4 linked regions of the Saccharomyces cerevisiae S288C genome follow. Changing the gene in region 4 together with the main gene of any one other region gives a genetic interaction. Each region holds a gene or a part of one and is shown on either strand. Other genes may lie near its edges.

The links.
Region 1: mutations in RTG2 (region 4) and RTG1 together harm fitness less than expected from each alone (positive genetic interaction), as found in Saccharomyces cerevisiae (4 studies listed by BioGRID, with this or other methods).
Region 2: mutations in RTG2 (region 4) and SNF3 together harm fitness more than expected from each alone (negative genetic interaction), as found in Saccharomyces cerevisiae (3 studies listed by BioGRID, with this or other methods).
Region 3: mutations in RTG2 (region 4) and GCR2 together harm fitness more than expected from each alone (negative genetic interaction), as found in Saccharomyces cerevisiae (3 studies listed by BioGRID).

Annotation. Positions count from the first base shown.
Region 1 is NC_001147.6:201,485-205,250, forward strand, and holds RTG1 (Rtg1p), read right to left. Parts: upstream 1,035-3,766; coding exon 501-1,034; downstream 1-500. Other genes in the region: histone deacetylase HST1, read right to left, coding at 1-395; bifunctional DRAP deaminase/tRNA pseudouridine synthase RIB2, read right to left, coding at 1,212-2,987; phosphoinositide 5-phosphatase INP54, read right to left, coding at 3,247-3,766. UniProt on the Saccharomyces cerevisiae protein: Required for a novel path of interorganelle communication between mitochondria, peroxisomes and the nucleus, thereby maintaining a functional metabolic interaction between the tricarboxylic acid and glyoxylate cycles.
Region 2 is NC_001136.10:108,935-114,734, forward strand, and holds SNF3 (glucose sensor), read left to right. Parts: upstream 1-2,645; coding exon 2,646-5,300; downstream 5,301-5,800. Other genes in the region: SEC31 (Sec31p), read left to right, coding at 1-2,095; NUS1 (ditrans,polycis-polyprenyl diphosphate synthase), read left to right, coding at 5,738-5,800.
Region 3 is NC_001146.8:264,426-268,918, forward strand, and holds GCR2 (Gcr2p), read right to left. Parts: upstream 2,106-4,493; coding exon 501-2,105; downstream 1-500. Other genes in the region: NNR1 (NADHX epimerase), read right to left, coding at 1-28; mRNA-binding protein WHI3, read right to left, coding at 3,183-4,493. UniProt on the Saccharomyces cerevisiae protein: Transcriptional activator required for the expression of glycolytic genes. Enhances the CT box-dependent transcriptional activation of a RAP1-GCR1 complex. Required for GCR1 phosphorylation.
Region 4 is NC_001139.9:24,799-29,725, forward strand, and holds RTG2 (Rtg2p), read right to left. Parts: upstream 2,687-4,927; coding exon 920-2,686; downstream 1-919. Other genes in the region: HXK2 (hexokinase 2), read left to right, coding at 1-597; HFM1 (DNA helicase), read right to left, coding at 3,123-4,927. UniProt on the Saccharomyces cerevisiae protein: Required for a novel path of interorganelle communication between mitochondria, peroxisomes and the nucleus, thereby maintaining a functional metabolic interaction between the tricarboxylic acid and glyoxylate cycles.

The sequences.
Region 1 (3,766 bases), on a different chromosome or scaffold from region 4:
GAAGTGATATTAGAGTTTAACGCCATAAATAGTTCTTTATCTTTGACGTCGAATCCCAGCAATTTTATCATGAAATAAATGTAGATCGAGTTGACTTCCACTGGCAAAAAATATTCTAAAAAAGTTTTCAAATCGTTGTCCTTCAAAAACAGTCTTGCATTCATAACATCATCTTTAGTGATTGCAGGAAAGATGAATTTGCCCGTCACCTTATCCTTCCCGAGGATACAAGGGTACGTTAATCTCGTTTTCAGCTTCTTCGTAGCATTATTATCTGACTCTTCTTCTTGAGGTCTTTTCAACATTGTCATGGTCAGCTCTCCAACATGAAAGTATCGCCCTTGACTAACCACCAAAATAAAACTAACTATCCGTTGCATTAGCAATATGTTCATTTAGATTTTTTTTTCTCACAAAAACAACAAAAAAGAAGAGAAGTGTTCGTATCACTACCAACGAGGGTTATCACAACATAGCAATAGTGAGAGTCAGAAGTACTTTTAGCTACCATTACCGTACTCACCATACCCTCCGTACTCGAAGGAGCTCAACCTCTTTGCTGGCGGTCTTACTGAGTCATCATTTGTTGCGGCCAGCGGTCCCACGCCAATCCTGGACAGGGCGACTTCAGCGCTGGTGTTCTCTAAGTTTATATCGTTGACAATGGTGCCTGTCTGCTTGGCCAACTGAGTGGCCTTCACCATCAGTTCCACCTCCTCTCTGTTCTGTGTGTCCACTTGATTTTGTAGATGTGATATGTACTCTACCGCCTGTGTGAGAATTTGGCCCTTGTTGGGCTTTCCGTCCTTGGTCCCTGTACCTTTGGCCTTGCTGGACAACCCAAGCGCACCGGGAGTGGATTCACTTAACGTGTCATTGCTACCAGAATTGCCGTAATAATCTCTAAAGAAGTCTTTGGGAATGATACTCAATAGTTCTTGAATACGGTCGTTGATCTTATCTCTGCGCTTGCGGTCATTCTTGAAATTAGCACCGCAGGACCCAGGATCAGTGCCAGCTGGAATGCTGCTCATGTTTGGTGTTGTGCTTTCTTTTGGTTCACTATCTAGTGTTTTTTGTCTGTGTTGTGGTTGAAGTTAATTCCATTCTTTTTACTCAAAATTTTCGGTGGCGCCTTTTTCCGTTTCCAGTAATGAGTGGTTATTGTAGATATGATGTAAGATTACATGATAATATATATGCTAAATAGTCTAAGCTTTGTCGTCACTATTATCGTGGCCTTTGAAGGCAATGATGGTGCACTCCTCCTCGTAGCCTGGTATTTGTATGTAGTTCACACCGTGCGATTCCAGCTTGTTCAAACTTGTATTGTTTTTAACAAATGTATCGGGCTCCATAACCCCCACGAAGACAGTACCAATGGCACCTTGGGTGGCCAGGATTCTATCGCAGCAAGGCTCATTGCCACTTAGCCTGAAGGAACAGGGTTCCATGGTTGTATAGAGCACTGTTCCCATAGGGACTATAGTGGGACAGTTCGGGTGTAACTGCGAGTACTTTATCAAAGCACACTGTTCTGCATGAGTGTTTCCTGGTAGCTCTCTTGAATATCCTGTGGCAAGTACTTGAGTTCCATGAACAAGAACGGCACCAACACTAAAAGCAGTCTTTGTCGGGCCACACTTACCAGCTTCCTTAACGGCCATTTCCATATATCGGCGATGTGGCTCTAAGGCCCATTCAGGGTATTTTGTTCTATAACTCCAGAGAGGTTTTTGCGTATCCGAATTTCTTTCCAATGACTCGTACCGGAAGGCATGCAGCCAGAGGTCGAGATCATTAGTACCGGGATCTGTGTACATTTCAGCCTCGCATTCTTCGCACTGACGGCCAAGCAAGTATTCACCCTCGCTATGAGGATGAATCCAGCTCTCTGCAGGATTAGTCTTGCCAATAGCGTCTAGTTTCAGAACGATGTCATCATAGTTTTGAAGTCCACCGCGGCCCAAATCTGGACCCCAGATATCTGGGTTCGAGTATATAGGGTCATTTGCTATGGGAAATCCCAAGTACTGCAAATGGACTCTTATTTGGTGAGTTCTACCTGTCAATGGTTTACACTTTACAATACTCGTCTGTCCATCATAGCTAACCCTTTGGAAAACGGTCTTGGCATGTTTAGCGTTTTCATCGCTCATCTCGCAAACAGCGTTTAGTGCAACTTTAGGGTTAACAGATCTGACAGGCTTATCTACCTCTACTATACCTATAGGGAACTCGCCCTTCACGCGGGCTACGTATTCTTTGGTGACTTCCCTCGCTTTCATTTGGTCTCCCATTCTATCTGCACCTAATGGAGTCTTGGCTAAAAACATTAGTCCACTAGTTGGCTTGTCTAGTCTATTACATGGATGTACTGAATAACCTAGCTGTCTTTCTAGCATTTTTGTAATGGTATTGAATCTGTATCTGCCCGTTGGGTGCACTGGAATACTGCTGGGTTTATCAATGACAAGGATATCTTCGTCTTCAAACACAATATCTATTGGTTTAGATGTGACTGGCGGTTCATGTCGATGTACTTTATGTGTGATCAGATCACCGTCACGAATGATGGTATCAAGGTTTGCAGGTTCATCGTTTAAGTATACTTTTCCCTCTGCAATGGTTTTGGAATAATAGCTGGGCTCTCGATCCCTGAATTCGCTCACGAATACATCCACCAACTTACGATCTCTCCACCTCTCCTTACAGAAAGTTTTATAAGTGAAAAAATAAGGCTCAATCTTCCTTAAGGGTCCATCAATTGTCACTTCATAATCAGGGTCTGTCTTTTTAGTTTTGTGCCCATCGGTTTGAATAACTCTCAGTCTGAATCCACTCGCATCTTTGACTTTGGAACTGTTTTCGTTCCTATTATTATTCCTGTTCGCGAATTTTCTTAACTTCACTTCCTTTGCAGACTCAATTTCTTTGTTTAATAAGTTGTTGAAGTCATCGCTGGCTTCATTATTAGAGTCCTCCATTTTGATTGGTTTGTTAATCTAATATTGATAGTTTTTTTTTTAATGTTCTTCTCTCTCTTCTTCCTGTTTTTTCATGGCAATAATTTTGACTAGTTTTTCTTTTTTTTTTTTTTTTTTCATTCTTTTTCATTATTACTTAAGTTCTGTAAAGATATATGGAAGAGAAAATAAAAAGAATAAAACCAAAGATAGTGGTACAACTGACGTTATCTGTTTCAGACATAAATGAAAAACTTCTAGCCTGACAGCCCAGATCACTTTACAGGATTTTTAATAGTAAATATAATAGTAAAGAACCTAATATCCAATAATGTACATTCTTAGTAACTAGCCAACCGCAGTACCCGATGACTGCGTCACCAATTTGTCCAATCAGGCCAGAGCTCCATGATAAAGGATACTTTTCGATATGTAAGGATAACGGCACTGGCGTCCCTGTAGACCTTGGTAATCTTACGGTAAGATTAACGGGTTGATGATCGCTAAATAATAGAGCATTGGACCTAGGGACGGAATGGTAAGTACCTTCTTGTGCGAAAGTTGGCACTGCATAGCTTTTGTAGAGAATCCTATCGCACCACGACGGGATTCTTTTTGTATTATATGTTTCCTTTTCAAACAACTTGAATTTGTATGTCGGTGGAAATGTTATCTTCAGCTCCTGAAAACCTTTGCATAACGGTTCATCCTCTCCTTTACGTAGCAGATTTAGTTCTTCATGATTTTCTAATAGACGCCTTAACGTTGTGGTGGACGAATAATTGGTAGTTGGATCATAA
Region 2 (5,800 bases), on a different chromosome or scaffold from region 4:
TTCTAAGAGGGAAGTAGATGATTTGGTTGAAAATTTGGATGTCTCTCAGTGGAAGTTTATCTCTAAAGCAATTCAAAACTTATATCCAAATGATATCGCCCAGAGGAATGAAATGTTGATTAAATTGGGAGACAGGTTAAAGGAAAATGGTCATAGACAAGATTCTTTGACTTTGTACTTGGCTGCCGGATCATTAGATAAGGTGGCTTCAATTTGGTTATCAGAATTTCCAGATTTGGAGGATAAATTGAAGAAAGATAATAAGACAATTTATGAAGCTCATTCCGAATGTCTAACTGAGTTCATTGAAAGATTCACCGTATTTTCCAACTTCATTAATGGAAGCTCTACCATTAATAATGAGCAATTAATTGCCAAATTTTTGGAATTTATCAACTTAACTACTTCCACAGGAAATTTCGAACTAGCCACTGAATTCTTAAATAGTTTACCAAGTGACAATGAAGAGGTTAAAACAGAAAAGGCACGTGTCTTGATTGCTTCCGGCAAATCATTACCGGCACAAAATCCTGCGACAGCGACGACCAGCAAAGCCAAGTATACAAACGCCAAGACAAATAAGAACGTTCCTGTACTACCAACTCCTGGAATGCCTTCTACTACTTCTATTCCTAGTATGCAGGCACCATTTTATGGTATGACACCAGGCGCCTCTGCAAATGCTCTACCTCCAAAGCCGTACGTTCCAGCAACCACCACTAGTGCTCCTGTTCATACAGAAGGTAAATATGCGCCACCAAGCCAACCTTCGATGGCGTCACCTTTTGTTAACAAAACAAATAGCTCGACCAGATTGAATTCTTTTGCTCCTCCGCCTAACCCATATGCCACTGCAACAGTTCCTGCAACGAACGTATCTACAACGTCGATTCCGCAAAACACTTTTGCTCCTATACAACCTGGTATGCCTATTATGGGCGACTATAATGCTCAATCTAGCTCTATTCCTTCACAACCTCCAATTAATGCTGTATCGGGTCAAACGCCACATCTCAACCGTAAAGCCAATGATGGTTGGAATGATTTGCCTTTGAAGGTCAAAGAAAAACCATCTCGTGCCAAGGCTGTATCTGTTGCCCCTCCAAATATCCTATCGACACCAACTCCATTAAATGGTATCCCTGCAAATGCTGCTAGTACCATGCCTCCGCCACCTCTTTCCAGAGCTCCCTCTTCTGTGTCAATGGTATCACCACCTCCTCTACACAAAAATTCTAGAGTCCCATCCTTGGTTGCAACTTCTGAGTCACCAAGGGCATCCATATCAAATCCATACGCTCCTCCTCAATCATCACAACAATTCCCAATAGGTACTATTTCTACAGCAAACCAAACGTCAAACACCGCTCAGGTAGCTTCATCGAACCCCTATGCTCCACCACCACAACAAAGAGTAGCAACCCCATTATCTGGAGGCGTGCCTCCAGCTCCGTTGCCAAAGGCCTCTAATCCATATGCTCCAACTGCAACCACTCAACCCAACGGTTCCTCCTATCCTCCAACCGGTCCGTATACTAATAACCATACCATGACCTCTCCTCCTCCCGTTTTTAACAAACCTCCCACTGGCCCCCCTCCGATTAGCATGAAGAAGAGAAGCAACAAGTTAGCTAGTATAGAACAAAACCCATCTCAAGGTGCTACTTATCCTCCAACCCTTTCCAGCTCGGCCTCTCCATTGCAGCCTTCTCAACCGCCAACTTTGGCTTCTCAGGTTAATACCTCCGCTGAGAATGTCAGTCATGAAATTCCAGCTGATCAACAACCCATTGTCGACTTCTTGAAAGAAGAACTGGCTCGCGTAACACCATTGACCCCAAAGGAGTACTCCAAACAATTAAAGGATTGTGATAAACGATTAAAGATTCTTTTCTACCATTTGGAAAAGCAGGATTTATTAACCCAACCAACAATCGATTGTTTACATGACCTCGTCGCATTAATGAAGGAAAAGAAATACAAAGAAGCTATGGTCATCCATGCTAATATCGCTACAAACCATGCTCAAGAGGGTGGTAACTGGCTGACAGGAGTGAAGAGGTTGATTGGCATAGCTGAAGCGACTTTGAATTAATTCAGTCTCAAAACTTTCAGTACAAAAAGTGGCGTATTGGCCTTGTTTTTTTCTTATTATGTCTTATAGTATTATATTTATATATTTATGTACTTATCCTTTTATGTTTAAACCTAATCAAGATCACAATTAGAACTAGCTTAACATTACTTCTCAAAACCAACCAATACCTCTTATATCTTTTTTACAGCCTTTCCCTTATGTTTTTACCATGTACACCTCGAGCGGCAAATCTCCGGGGAAATTTTAAACTTGCCGCATCGCACATTCTAAAGAACAAAAGGAGGAGGAACTGTCAATTATTCTATAATCTGGGGAAATTCAGTCATACTGAGAAAAACTAGACAATAGTCCTATCCTCGGCAAATTGCATTGATAGTACTTACACATCGAGAGATCATAGGACAGATAAGAAGCATTTTATTGAAGAAAAACAGAGAGAGTCACTATAAGTTGACCTCACTATAGAAATTAAAACAGAAAAGTTTTACTGAGGACCTTTTTAAACAGAAGGATATGCCTTTGTTGGCATAGAAAGAAGAATTTATAAATGGATCCTAATAGTAACAGTTCTAGCGAAACATTACGCCAAGAGAAACAGGGTTTCCTAGACAAAGCTCTTCAGAGGGTGAAGGGCATAGCACTGCGACGAAACAATAGTAACAAAGATCATACAACAGATGATACGACAGGTAGCATACGAACCCCTACGAGCTTGCAGCGGCAAAATTCTGACAGGCAATCTAATATGACATCCGTGTTTACGGATGACATTTCTACCATAGACGACAACTCAATTTTATTTTCAGAGCCTCCTCAGAAACAATCTATGATGATGTCTATATGCGTAGGTGTTTTTGTTGCAGTTGGCGGATTTTTATTTGGTTATGATACAGGTCTGATCAACAGTATTACATCTATGAACTATGTGAAGTCACACGTAGCACCTAATCACGATTCATTTACCGCCCAACAAATGTCCATTTTGGTGTCATTTTTGTCATTGGGAACTTTTTTTGGGGCTTTAACTGCACCATTTATATCTGATTCGTATGGCAGGAAGCCTACTATCATTTTCAGTACAATTTTCATCTTCTCTATCGGAAATTCTTTACAGGTAGGTGCTGGAGGAATCACATTATTGATTGTGGGAAGGGTCATTTCAGGTATCGGTATAGGCGCAATTTCAGCGGTTGTTCCATTATACCAAGCAGAAGCTACACATAAATCATTAAGAGGTGCTATTATTTCTACTTACCAATGGGCCATTACCTGGGGCTTGCTCGTGTCAAGTGCAGTGTCGCAAGGGACACACGCAAGAAACGACGCATCTTCGTATCGGATTCCCATAGGGTTGCAATATGTCTGGTCGTCATTTCTCGCTATCGGGATGTTCTTTCTCCCTGAGAGTCCACGCTATTACGTTTTGAAAGACAAGCTAGATGAAGCAGCTAAATCTTTATCGTTTTTAAGAGGTGTACCAGTCCATGATTCTGGGTTACTGGAAGAACTAGTTGAAATAAAGGCAACATATGATTACGAGGCATCTTTTGGTTCTTCGAACTTCATTGATTGTTTTATTTCAAGTAAAAGTAGACCAAAGCAAACTCTAAGGATGTTTACGGGAATTGCCCTTCAAGCATTTCAACAATTTTCAGGTATCAACTTTATATTTTACTACGGTGTCAATTTCTTCAATAAGACAGGAGTCAGTAATAGTTATCTGGTTTCATTTATAACCTATGCTGTTAATGTTGTCTTTAATGTTCCTGGTTTGTTTTTTGTGGAATTTTTTGGTAGACGTAAGGTGCTGGTTGTTGGGGGTGTTATCATGACTATAGCCAACTTTATTGTGGCCATTGTTGGGTGTTCCTTAAAGACTGTAGCGGCCGCAAAAGTTATGATAGCATTTATATGTCTATTCATAGCTGCCTTTTCTGCTACATGGGGTGGTGTTGTTTGGGTTATTTCAGCAGAACTGTACCCATTGGGTGTGAGATCTAAATGTACGGCTATATGCGCTGCTGCTAACTGGCTTGTAAACTTTATTTGTGCTTTAATTACCCCTTATATTGTAGATACTGGGTCGCATACATCATCATTAGGTGCAAAAATATTCTTCATTTGGGGCTCCTTAAATGCGATGGGGGTGATAGTTGTTTACTTGACCGTTTATGAAACGAAGGGTTTGACATTAGAAGAGATTGATGAATTATATATTAAGTCATCCACTGGTGTCGTGTCACCAAAATTTAATAAAGATATTAGGGAACGCGCACTTAAATTCCAATACGATCCTTTGCAAAGATTAGAAGACGGAAAGAACACTTTTGTTGCTAAAAGAAATAATTTTGACGATGAAACACCAAGAAATGATTTTCGAAATACGATATCGGGCGAAATAGATCATAGTCCCAATCAAAAAGAAGTTCATTCTATCCCAGAACGTGTTGATATTCCTACTAGTACAGAAATTCTTGAAAGCCCGAACAAAAGTAGTGGTATGACAGTCCCTGTGTCACCTTCTCTGCAAGACGTTCCAATCCCGCAAACAACAGAGCCTGCTGAAATTCGAACCAAATATGTGGACCTAGGAAATGGGCTTGGTCTTAATACGTATAATAGAGGGCCTCCCTCACTCTCAAGCGACTCAAGCGAAGATTACACAGAAGATGAAATAGGCGGGCCCTCATCTCAAGGCGACCAAAGTAATAGAAGTACTATGAATGATATTAATGATTATATGGCACGTCTCATTCACAGTACTTCTACTGCAAGTAACACGACAGATAAGTTCTCCGGTAACCAAAGTACCCTTCGTTACCACACGGCTTCCTCACATTCGGATACAACTGAAGAGGACAGCAATTTGATGGACCTGGGAAACGGGCTTGCCTTGAATGCTTATAACAGAGGTCCACCTTCAATTTTAATGAATTCCAGTGATGAAGAGGCAAATGGTGGTGAGACGTCTGATAATTTGAACACAGCTCAAGACTTGGCTGGTATGAAGGAACGAATGGCGCAGTTTGCGCAGAGCTATATTGACAAGAGAGGCGGTCTGGAACCTGAAACTCAATCTAATATTTTGAGCACTTCTCTCTCCGTGATGGCTGACACTAATGAACATAATAATGAAATCCTCCACTCAAGCGAAGAAAACGCCACTAATCAACCTGTAAATGAAAATAATGATTTGAAATAATTAATTTAATGTTATTCGATGTATTAATTAAGCGGACGTGCATTATAATTTTAATCATGTGAAAGAAATAATTGTAACTTGAGATACTACTCAACTTTTATAGATACACAATGTTTATCTTGACACACATTCAATTACATTACTTGATTTAATGCCTTTCCAAAATTATGATCTTTTCTTCTATAACACTTTTGGATACTTAGCCGCCGACGGATACCATCTTCGGTCAACGTCGGAAGTCATTATAAACGAAAAGGTTTCCCAATAGAAAAGTCCTGCAGGAGCCACGTATAACACTGGCTTGAATTATCAACAACTCTCGAAGGCGCTGGAAGAGAATTTTTACGCAAGTTAGTATTCGCATAACATTAGTTGGCAAATTACACAATTTTTTGATACAATATATATACATATATTTTCCCCATTGTTTTTCTTAGATGCCCACGATGATCAAAAAGGATGATAAAGCAATGGAGCCCCCTAATGAAAAACCGCATAGA
Region 3 (4,493 bases), on a different chromosome or scaffold from region 4:
TTGATGAAACAACTTTCAACGTAGACATTTTTACCTTACAATGATTTCTCTTTAATACCTGAGATTGGTGTGTTGAAATGAAAATATGTGTTGGCCCAGCAACAGACAATAATATAAGCAAGGATCCTGGTCGTTTGATATTCTTCTTGAGTTTTTTTCTTATATATGAACGTATGTGTATATATTCACCATCCCTATTGTCTCCACCCCTTGTTCGCTCGTAGCGACGGAAACAATCAAATAAGAGGACCCACGGTAAAAGTAGCGTAAATTTTACGGTTCTGCTGCAAAATAAAGAAACCCATTTTGTATCCTTTACATCAGGAATAACGTAAAAAGAATTATCATTAGTTCGTAGTTATATAATAACGTCTGTTCATTATAAAAGAGTACAAGAAACAGTAAGATAGTAAACGTCACTGTTAAATAGTTAATTATACCGCCAATCTACACCAGAAAATTAAAAGAGAAAGCAATATATGTTAAACATTATTATCGTGTCATCTTTGTAAATCCCTTAACATACTTCTAACACAACCCATGTCTTCAATTAACATTTTCCTTAACCACTGCGTCTCTTGGCGCTGTAATTCCAATTCTCTTTCTAATTGCACAATTCTTTGGCCTTTTTCAGAAATGATTGCGTCATAAGCTTCTTTCAATGGGCGTATCACGGCTTCTGTATCTATAGGTCCCATGCTGTTTGAAGGATTTAAATCAACTTTCATTTGGGTGTTATTCGCGTTTAAATTAGTGTCCGGACCATCATTTATTAACGCACCCTCTGCTGCAGTTGTCATCGGCCTCTGCCTCTTACTCGTATTTGTCAGTTGCAAAAGTTCTTCCACCGCTTCGTCATCCAGCGTATTAACATCTAACGATCCCAGTGACCTTCGTTTCCACGAATGGGATCCATTATTGGACATTGTATTATAGCCCATGGTATTACTGGAAGCATTGGGGTTCAGATCTGCATGACTCAAACCAAATTCAAATCCTCCTGAGCCAGGACTGGTTGGCTGTGTATAATATCCTGTCAACGAACGAGAATTGACATCTTGTGATAGCGTTTGCAGTCGTTTTTGTAACTGTTGAGACAATGATGGATCAAAAAGCATATTGGTACCTGGGTTGCTTATTGTTGTATTACTGAATGCACTCGTATCTGTAATGCCGTTTCTCTCTTTATTACTATTTTTATTGTTTTTCCCATTTTTAGCATTTTTAGCCACCCTGGTGCCTCTTTTTTTCGTTCGGTTGTTTGGCATGTTTTTATTTCCATAGTTCTTAATATTACTCCCATTTCCAATATTACCATTGTTCCCATTATTGTTCCCGTTGTTTATTCCCTGTAAATCTGATGGGGAGCCTTTAGTTGATGTATTTAAGGAGTTTCCCTTCCTGCGTCCTTGAGTTAGAATTTGGCCGGTCTGAGGATCGAATACTGTAAATATGCTCATTGAGACTAATCGCCACAATTCATCGTTTTCTAATTCTGAGTCTGTCTTTATTTGCCAAAGCCTTCCATCCAACCGGCGGAAGTATTTTGCGTAAGGACTTGCGTCAAAACTCAGCTCTAGTTCCTTAATCATCTGTTGAAATCTTTGATATAGTTCGATTGCCGATTTTGGTGATGTTGATCTATCGTCAATTGACCCAGATGATAGTGTAGCGTTATATAGTTTTGATATTTTGGCGAAAAGTTGAGAATATTGCGCTTGCGTATATATTCCATTTGAGGTGGCACTAGAGCTCGCATTATTACCAGTAGTGGCAGGATTGCTTGCATTGCTAATGGCTGAGGTAGAACTTGAATTACCATTCGGCGTACCATTAGCGCTATCTGAGTTGGTTTTCGTCAGAGCATTACTACCAGTGCTAGTTATAATCTCATCGATGTTAGGTGTGCTATCAGACCCCATCAACCCTGTTGGATTAGCTATCCCTGTTCCAACCGCCCCGTTAACCATACCTGAGGGCGTGTTCGTTGTCGTCTGTGGCGAGTTTGTAACACTCTGCAAGGAAGCACCACTAATGACAGACTCGTTAGACAGTAAATTATAAGCTCTGATTATGAATACATCTAACTTAGTTTGGTGATGCATTATGTGAGTGTAACTTTTCGTCAAATACTCTTTGTGTTCTCAGGTTCCTTTTTGGTTTCTTGGTTGTTTTCCCATTCAGTCTAGGCGTAAGAATGTGAAGAAAGTCAAATACAGACCGCAAGCACCTTATGGATGCGTTAATGATTATTATGTCTAACGGACAACTATCGCAGAAGTCGCGGTACTTGAAGGAGAAAAGTCGTGAAAATTTTATTTTGGACAAATTGTCCAAGAAAAATAAGAAATATGACGTTATTACCCGTATTGAGATTCCATTGAAAGACATTCATAAAATTGATCAGTTCGGTCATAAACAAAGTAGAACTTCGAAATATCAAATATGTTCTTGCCACTGGTAGCCCATATTTTTTTAATCTGCTCTTGTAGCATAGGGTTGAAAATATTACATTGAAGTCGATACCGATATATACTTCTATAAAAATGAGTTCTGGAATAAAAGTAAGGCTAATACATATATATAGTGGGAGAATATCCAAAGGCAGAGTTTTTTAAACAAGGAAAGAATAAAAGTTGGCAGCATAAAAAAAAGATATTCTCTCTTCAAAACATTTGTCGGATATGACCTCACCTAAGCACTTGGTGCTTTGATGACAATAATCACACTAAAGAGCGATATTCGATAGTGAGACTTTTCCCTCTCAATCTTATTCACATTAGCGCAAGCAAAATGGAATGAATGGCACATTAAAATTGAAAATAAAAGTTCTTGTTGTTGCAGAAGCGGTATAGGAGTTCGCAAAATGGTAGTTAAGAAAAAAGATGGCGGGTTTAATTCATAGTACAATTCAAATGTTAGACAGAAAAAGAAAAAATTTCTGTTATATGCACGTTGTAATGTAATAGTAAAAAGATAATTTAACGTAATTGAAGAGATAAAGTATTATCGATGTTATTCTTATTATTAGTCGGTTTAGAAAATATTATTATAACAAATAATAAAAGAAAAAGAAAAAATGCGACAGAAAATATTATTCTTATTATAGTGGGGGAAAGATGAAAAGCAATGCATATAATGTGATACATGCAAGGAAATCAGGTTTTTGCGGAACCATTTTTTTAGTTTTTTATATGACCAACATTAGAATTGTAACTGGAAAGCATATTTACATTAGGATTTGGGTTACCACTGCCTCCTCTTCTGCTGTTTGGGCCCCTAACACCCAGTGGGTTTTTTGAAAAGCTTAATCTGATACCTCCCTTACTGCTCACAGTGGAGCGAGGTAACTGTCTACCATACAATTCAGCTAACGCTCTGGTTGCAAAACTGACATCATCGAATTCAACGAAGCACATCGGTCCGTGACTATGACCATTAGATGTGGTATTCTTATTCCTGAATGATAGTCTTCTGAAGCCTTCTTGACCAGAAAATAGCTGTCTTAGTTCTTGCTCAGTAGCGTCGGAGGGTAAATTCCCTACATAAAGGGTATTACAAGGTGGATTTTGATCAGCAGGGTTGGCAGGAGGTGGAATTCTGGCTAGTAGTGACAAATCAGCCTGAGAAATCGAGGCAGATCCAGTAATATTTGAGGATAATGAGGTAGTAGAGTTATTCTTGTGTGAATTTCTACTTGAACTTAATCTTGCGGGCGGTACTTTTTGAGGAGTGTTACTTTGATTCACAGGATACATATGCTCTGGTTGGGGTTGTTGCATAAATCTGTTCTGTTTTTGAGGTGTAATGTTCATATCAGAGGTGTTTACCATATTTGAAATGTGCTGCGATTGAGAAGACATTAAACCGTATGGAGGCAATGAATTTGAAGAGGTTAGGGAAGTGTTAATCGTGTTACCAATTTGCATCATTGGTTGTTGCGAGCTGGCAGAGAGTGCCTGGTTAGCACCATTATTGCTGGCTCCATTGTTGGAGCTGGCGTTTGCATTGGCACTGGTGTTGCTATTCGTAGGTGCAATGGCTGTCGATGCTGCAGAGGGTAAAAAGAACGAAGAACCATGTTGGGATGCAGAAGTATTTCCCCATTCTAAAGTTGGCGTAGAAGGTTGGGGAGTGCTCATGTAACCGTTGATGCTGGAAGGTATACCGCTTGTGCCCCATATCTTTTCATTAATTTCAGTGTTATCTCTCAAAAGGAAAGATTTGCCAATATCAGATGTTTGAATTGTTGATTCCACAGACAAATCTTGATGTGAATGGTTAGAATGTAACCCAATAACCTGGCCTTGAGAAGATAACGGTATTGAAGAATTCACTTGTTGTTGATTACATTGTTGTGGTGAATGTTTTTGCGTAGAGTGTTGTTGTGGCTGTTGTGGCTGTTGCTGCTGCTGTTGAGATTGCTGTTGGCTTAAAGGAGAATCATTGGAAAATGGATCGCTGAATGAAAACCTGGATCTTTGTGATAACAG
Region 4 (4,927 bases):
ATTGATGAAGAATCTCCAAGACCAGGCCAACAAACCTTTGAAAAAATGTCTTCTGGTTACTACTTAGGTGAAATTTTGCGTTTGGCCTTGATGGACATGTACAAACAAGGTTTCATCTTCAAGAACCAAGACTTGTCTAAGTTCGACAAGCCTTTCGTCATGGACACTTCTTACCCAGCCAGAATCGAGGAAGATCCATTCGAGAACCTAGAAGATACCGATGACTTGTTCCAAAATGAGTTCGGTATCAACACTACTGTTCAAGAACGTAAATTGATCAGACGTTTATCTGAATTGATTGGTGCTAGAGCTGCTAGATTGTCCGTTTGTGGTATTGCTGCTATCTGTCAAAAGAGAGGTTACAAGACCGGTCACATCGCTGCAGACGGTTCCGTTTACAACAGATACCCAGGTTTCAAAGAAAAGGCTGCCAATGCTTTGAAGGACATTTACGGCTGGACTCAAACCTCACTAGACGACTACCCAATCAAGATTGTTCCTGCTGAAGATGGTTCCGGTGCTGGTGCCGCTGTTATTGCTGCTTTGGCCCAAAAAAGAATTGCTGAAGGTAAGTCCGTTGGTATCATCGGTGCTTAAACTTAATTTGTAAATTAAGTTTGAACAACAAGAAGGTGCCCTTTTTCTACTTATGTGAACATGTTTTCTATGATCTTTTTTTTTCTTACTTTTACAACTGTGATATTGTATAAACTTTGTTAGAAATTCACGGGATTTATTCGTGACGATAAATATTTATATAGACAAAGAATATGACGATTTATGAAATCTACATGATTTTAGTTTCTTTTAACAATTGCTCGTTTTTTTCTCTTGCTTAATTTTAAATTTTTTTGGTAGTAAAAGATGCTTATATAAGGATTTCGTATTTATTGTTCAAGTATTTAAAGACTAGATGTCTTTATTCTTCATAAAATTGCACGCCAATTTTAACCCTCTCTACACTTCCTCTAGATAGCTTGCGTACTTTCTTTTGTAGCGTGATAATTCTGGAACGAACGGAAGCACTTGTTTTAAGATCGTCCTTACTAATTCTCACAACCACTTCATACCCGCGATTTTTACGCGTGGATTCTTCTTTTACCTTTGTAGTGTTTGCATCATCAATGATTAATTCTTTTAAACTGGTCTCCACCTCACTACGCTTAGAAACATGGAAATCAAATACGTTATCTCTGATATTACCACCTGGATGAACACCGCAAATCACATACATAATCGTACCAATATACTTCGTCCACCATACAATTCTCAATGCTTCAGCTTTATCACCTTCGCGTAGAACTACTTGTTCTAATTCTTGGGAGTATTTTTCTTCAGATTCCGGAATGTTGCCGCCCCATCTACTACATAGAGCAATTCCTATCAGCGCTCTAGCTCTGTGAGATAATCCATGACAGCCGGCTATTATCCCTCTTGTAGCAACATGTAATGCAGCTGTTGGTTGTAACTCCTTTGGATAAGAGGCATGAACAAATGCTAAGTTACATAAAGCAGGAGCAATCCTTTCGTTTACTATTTCTGGTATATCTTCTTGTGGGATTGATGTTCTCAATAGATATAGATATTTTTCAGTAAGTAATGGAGCATAAGGACGGGACGCAATTAGCAATGGATCTTGTGCACGAATTTCTTTTGGAAGAAGAGAATAAAGTGAACCCTCTCGAACACCACCCTCACTAAAATGTACAGCTTTGATCTGGGGAATCGCTTCAAAAACAGCACTCATGAACAAACCAACGGCAGGAAGTTGTAAAGCCCTTCTATCAGAAACCTTAAATATTTTATGCTCTTTTGAAGAACCTGGTATTTTTTGTTTTAGGAATAGATAATCTGACATAGACGAGAATTCTTCATAAGTGCAAGCATATCCGTTAATTATTGTTTGGATGGGATAACCTTCCGACTGGTAAAGAAGCAGATGTCCCATACCTCTTAAACCACCCCCACGGGTCCAAAGGTCAAATCCACCTTCTTTCTTGGCGTCATCAATCATTTCTTGAGGTATACCAATTTTTTCAATCGCATCTTTGTACGCTTCTTTAATCTCATAAAAAAGTGCCCTATTATCATCTGTTCTCATTCTTCTCAAAAGAGTTCCAGCTCCATATGGCAAAGATACAGGTTTGCTGGATTGCTTGACTTCTCCGTGCGAGCTTATTACCCATGATAACTGAGTACTACCACCTGCCACATCTAGATATAGACCTCTTACTGTATTAAATGAGGAAACAACACCATATATGCCGACCCTAGTTTCATCTTCCTGGCCTAATATTTCTACTTTCCAGCCAGTGCTACCGTAAACAGCATTAACAAATTCATCCGCGTTAATAGCATCTCGCGTGGCTTCTGTTGCAATTACTCTGACACTAGTTTCAGGTACACCAAAATCATCGCAAATTAATTTGAATCTCTTCATGGCAGAACAAACCTCTTTTATAATATCTCTGGGAATAGGGCATTTTGCGTTCGTATGTGTATTATATTGAACTTCGTATAGAGAAAGACCAACCCTATCTTTAAAAACACAAGGCATAATTCTTGCATGATGTGCAGCCTTGGAAGATATACTAAAACGAATACCATTAGAACCTATGTCGACGATTCCACACAAGTTTCTCGACACGACCTCAGTCTCGGTATCACTATCGCTAAGTGTTGACATTTGTGGCACGCCTACACTTTTCGTTCAAAACAATCCTTAGTAAAGGACACTTCCAAGAGTGAGTTTCTTTTTTAAAAGGTACATATGAATGAATTACTAATCTCACTTCGATTCTTTCAATTGATCTAGGAACTCCGCCGGCAAAGTTATCCTATCTCGGCATTCTGACCCGGATCGCTTATCGCGGTCATGTGACTAATAATTGAAATGATAAATAGCACGATATGTAACAATAGTAATATATCAATTGACAATGTCATCTTGTTCCCTAATAAATAGTAAAGGTTCCAATTGTTTCACCACTGGCTGCATTTTAAAAACAAAGCATTATAAGTAAACTCTCACACATGCTAACTTCTGTTGGGAAGCAATACAAATAACAGAAAGGATTGGGGTAATGAATATCAGTAATGTCTATTGTTCCCGGCCATGCCGCTCATTCAAACTCTATATCGGAACCCAAGAAATCCAGATCACCATTCGGATCACTTATTGAGCTCGCCGCTGTATTACTAGAATAACTATCGGATGATTCAAGATCAATAGGAATTATTTCAGGGCAGTTTTCGGGGCCTGATTTTAGGACTTGTTCACCCGCTTCCATAGACGACATCTGTTGCGATAGATTATAAATTTTTGAAGGAAGTGTATGAACTGTCGCAATATCTGTATTTTCTTCTTGCCACTGCTTTGGTTTACTATTCAGTCTTTTTTCCAGGTGAGGGGTTGTGTTGATATTTTTTGCAAGCAGTGGCTGGCGTATTTGATCAGGTTTTGATACTGGCTTGATTGAGGAGGGTCCTTTTTCTTTTATATACTTTACTGGAATACCCTCTTTACAACATAAATGTCTGCATTGCGTTTTGTCTTTGCAGCTATGAAAACACTCGTAATTGCCATTAGATCTTACTTGGCGGCCATTACTAAAATGTGAAGAAGAGTGTGCCTCCGGGTGAATAACTGCTGCAGATTCAACCGCCTTTGATGATTTCTTCCTTTCATTCAAATAATCTAGTATACTATCATCTGAGGATAGCGATTCTTCTAATCCATCTTTATGGGAAACCCTAGACGTTTTCCCCACTTCTCCGTCACTACTGCTTTCATAGAAGAGGCATTTTTCTAAACTATTTAGATCTTTCCTTATATTTGGTGTCTTCGCAGAGAACTGTGATGCCAAATGATCAGTGGAATATACGATTGTTTTGCCGAGTCCGGCGATTTCTTGGCAATGAATTGAGAATTCTATTTTTTCTAGTTTTGGTGATATTTTTGCTGAAATTCTAAAGCCCCTTGGTGACTGTAGTTTGTTAACTTGCAATCTTCTAAAGTCGATTAACTCTCCTGAGCTTTTCTCGGTTTCGATATCTAATGAGAGGTGCTGACCATGCCAAATGCTAGACTTGAATGTTGCACTAATCTCAACTTTAAATGTCAACCACAACTCTTCATTTTCTATTTTGCAATTTTCTAGTTTTGTTCTAATATTCAGACAAGGCAACAAAGAAATGTCGTTTTTAATTTTTATGCCGTTTCCAATCTTGAGGTTAAGATAGTATTCAATCTGAGTATCTGACAAATGCCCCATTTCTTCTAGATTGGTAATTCCATGTCGTATTAGCCTTCTTACTGAAACTAGTCCAATTGTTTTCAATTGCCTAAGAACCATTGGCGTGTTTTCCCAGCAGTGACCATTCAGGCTTCGCAGTAAGAACAAAGTATTTTTCAGTGATGTTCCATCACTTTTTTCAATAAATGTGTCTACCATGCATTTTAGTAATCTAAAACAATGTCTAAAAACGAGGAATTTATCCTGAACAAGAGTTTGATGTAGTTTAGAAGCGCCTTCGTATGATGGAAATTCTAACCCACCTAACTCATATTGAATCAAAAGAGAAACCTTTTGACTAACCCTGTCAATTATTTGGCTCTGTTTCTTCTCGGTTAAAAATGGATATTTCAAAAGTGGCGATAAATTGATTTCTTTGAACAATTTTTTTTCATTGTGCCTCACCCTCATAACTGAAAACTCTTCAGAAGTGGCCAGTAAATTTAGTATCCCTTGTAATGATAGAAATTTTTTTGCGTTAATGAATTGTTTCATCGACTCAAAGGATATATAATGTCGCGTCATTGCATTTCCGTACGCTGTAGATTTGTACTCCCCATTGCTGATATCGATTATTTTCACTTTTACTAAGGTGTCAAGCAAATACTGACAGAATTGATTTATCTGAGAGT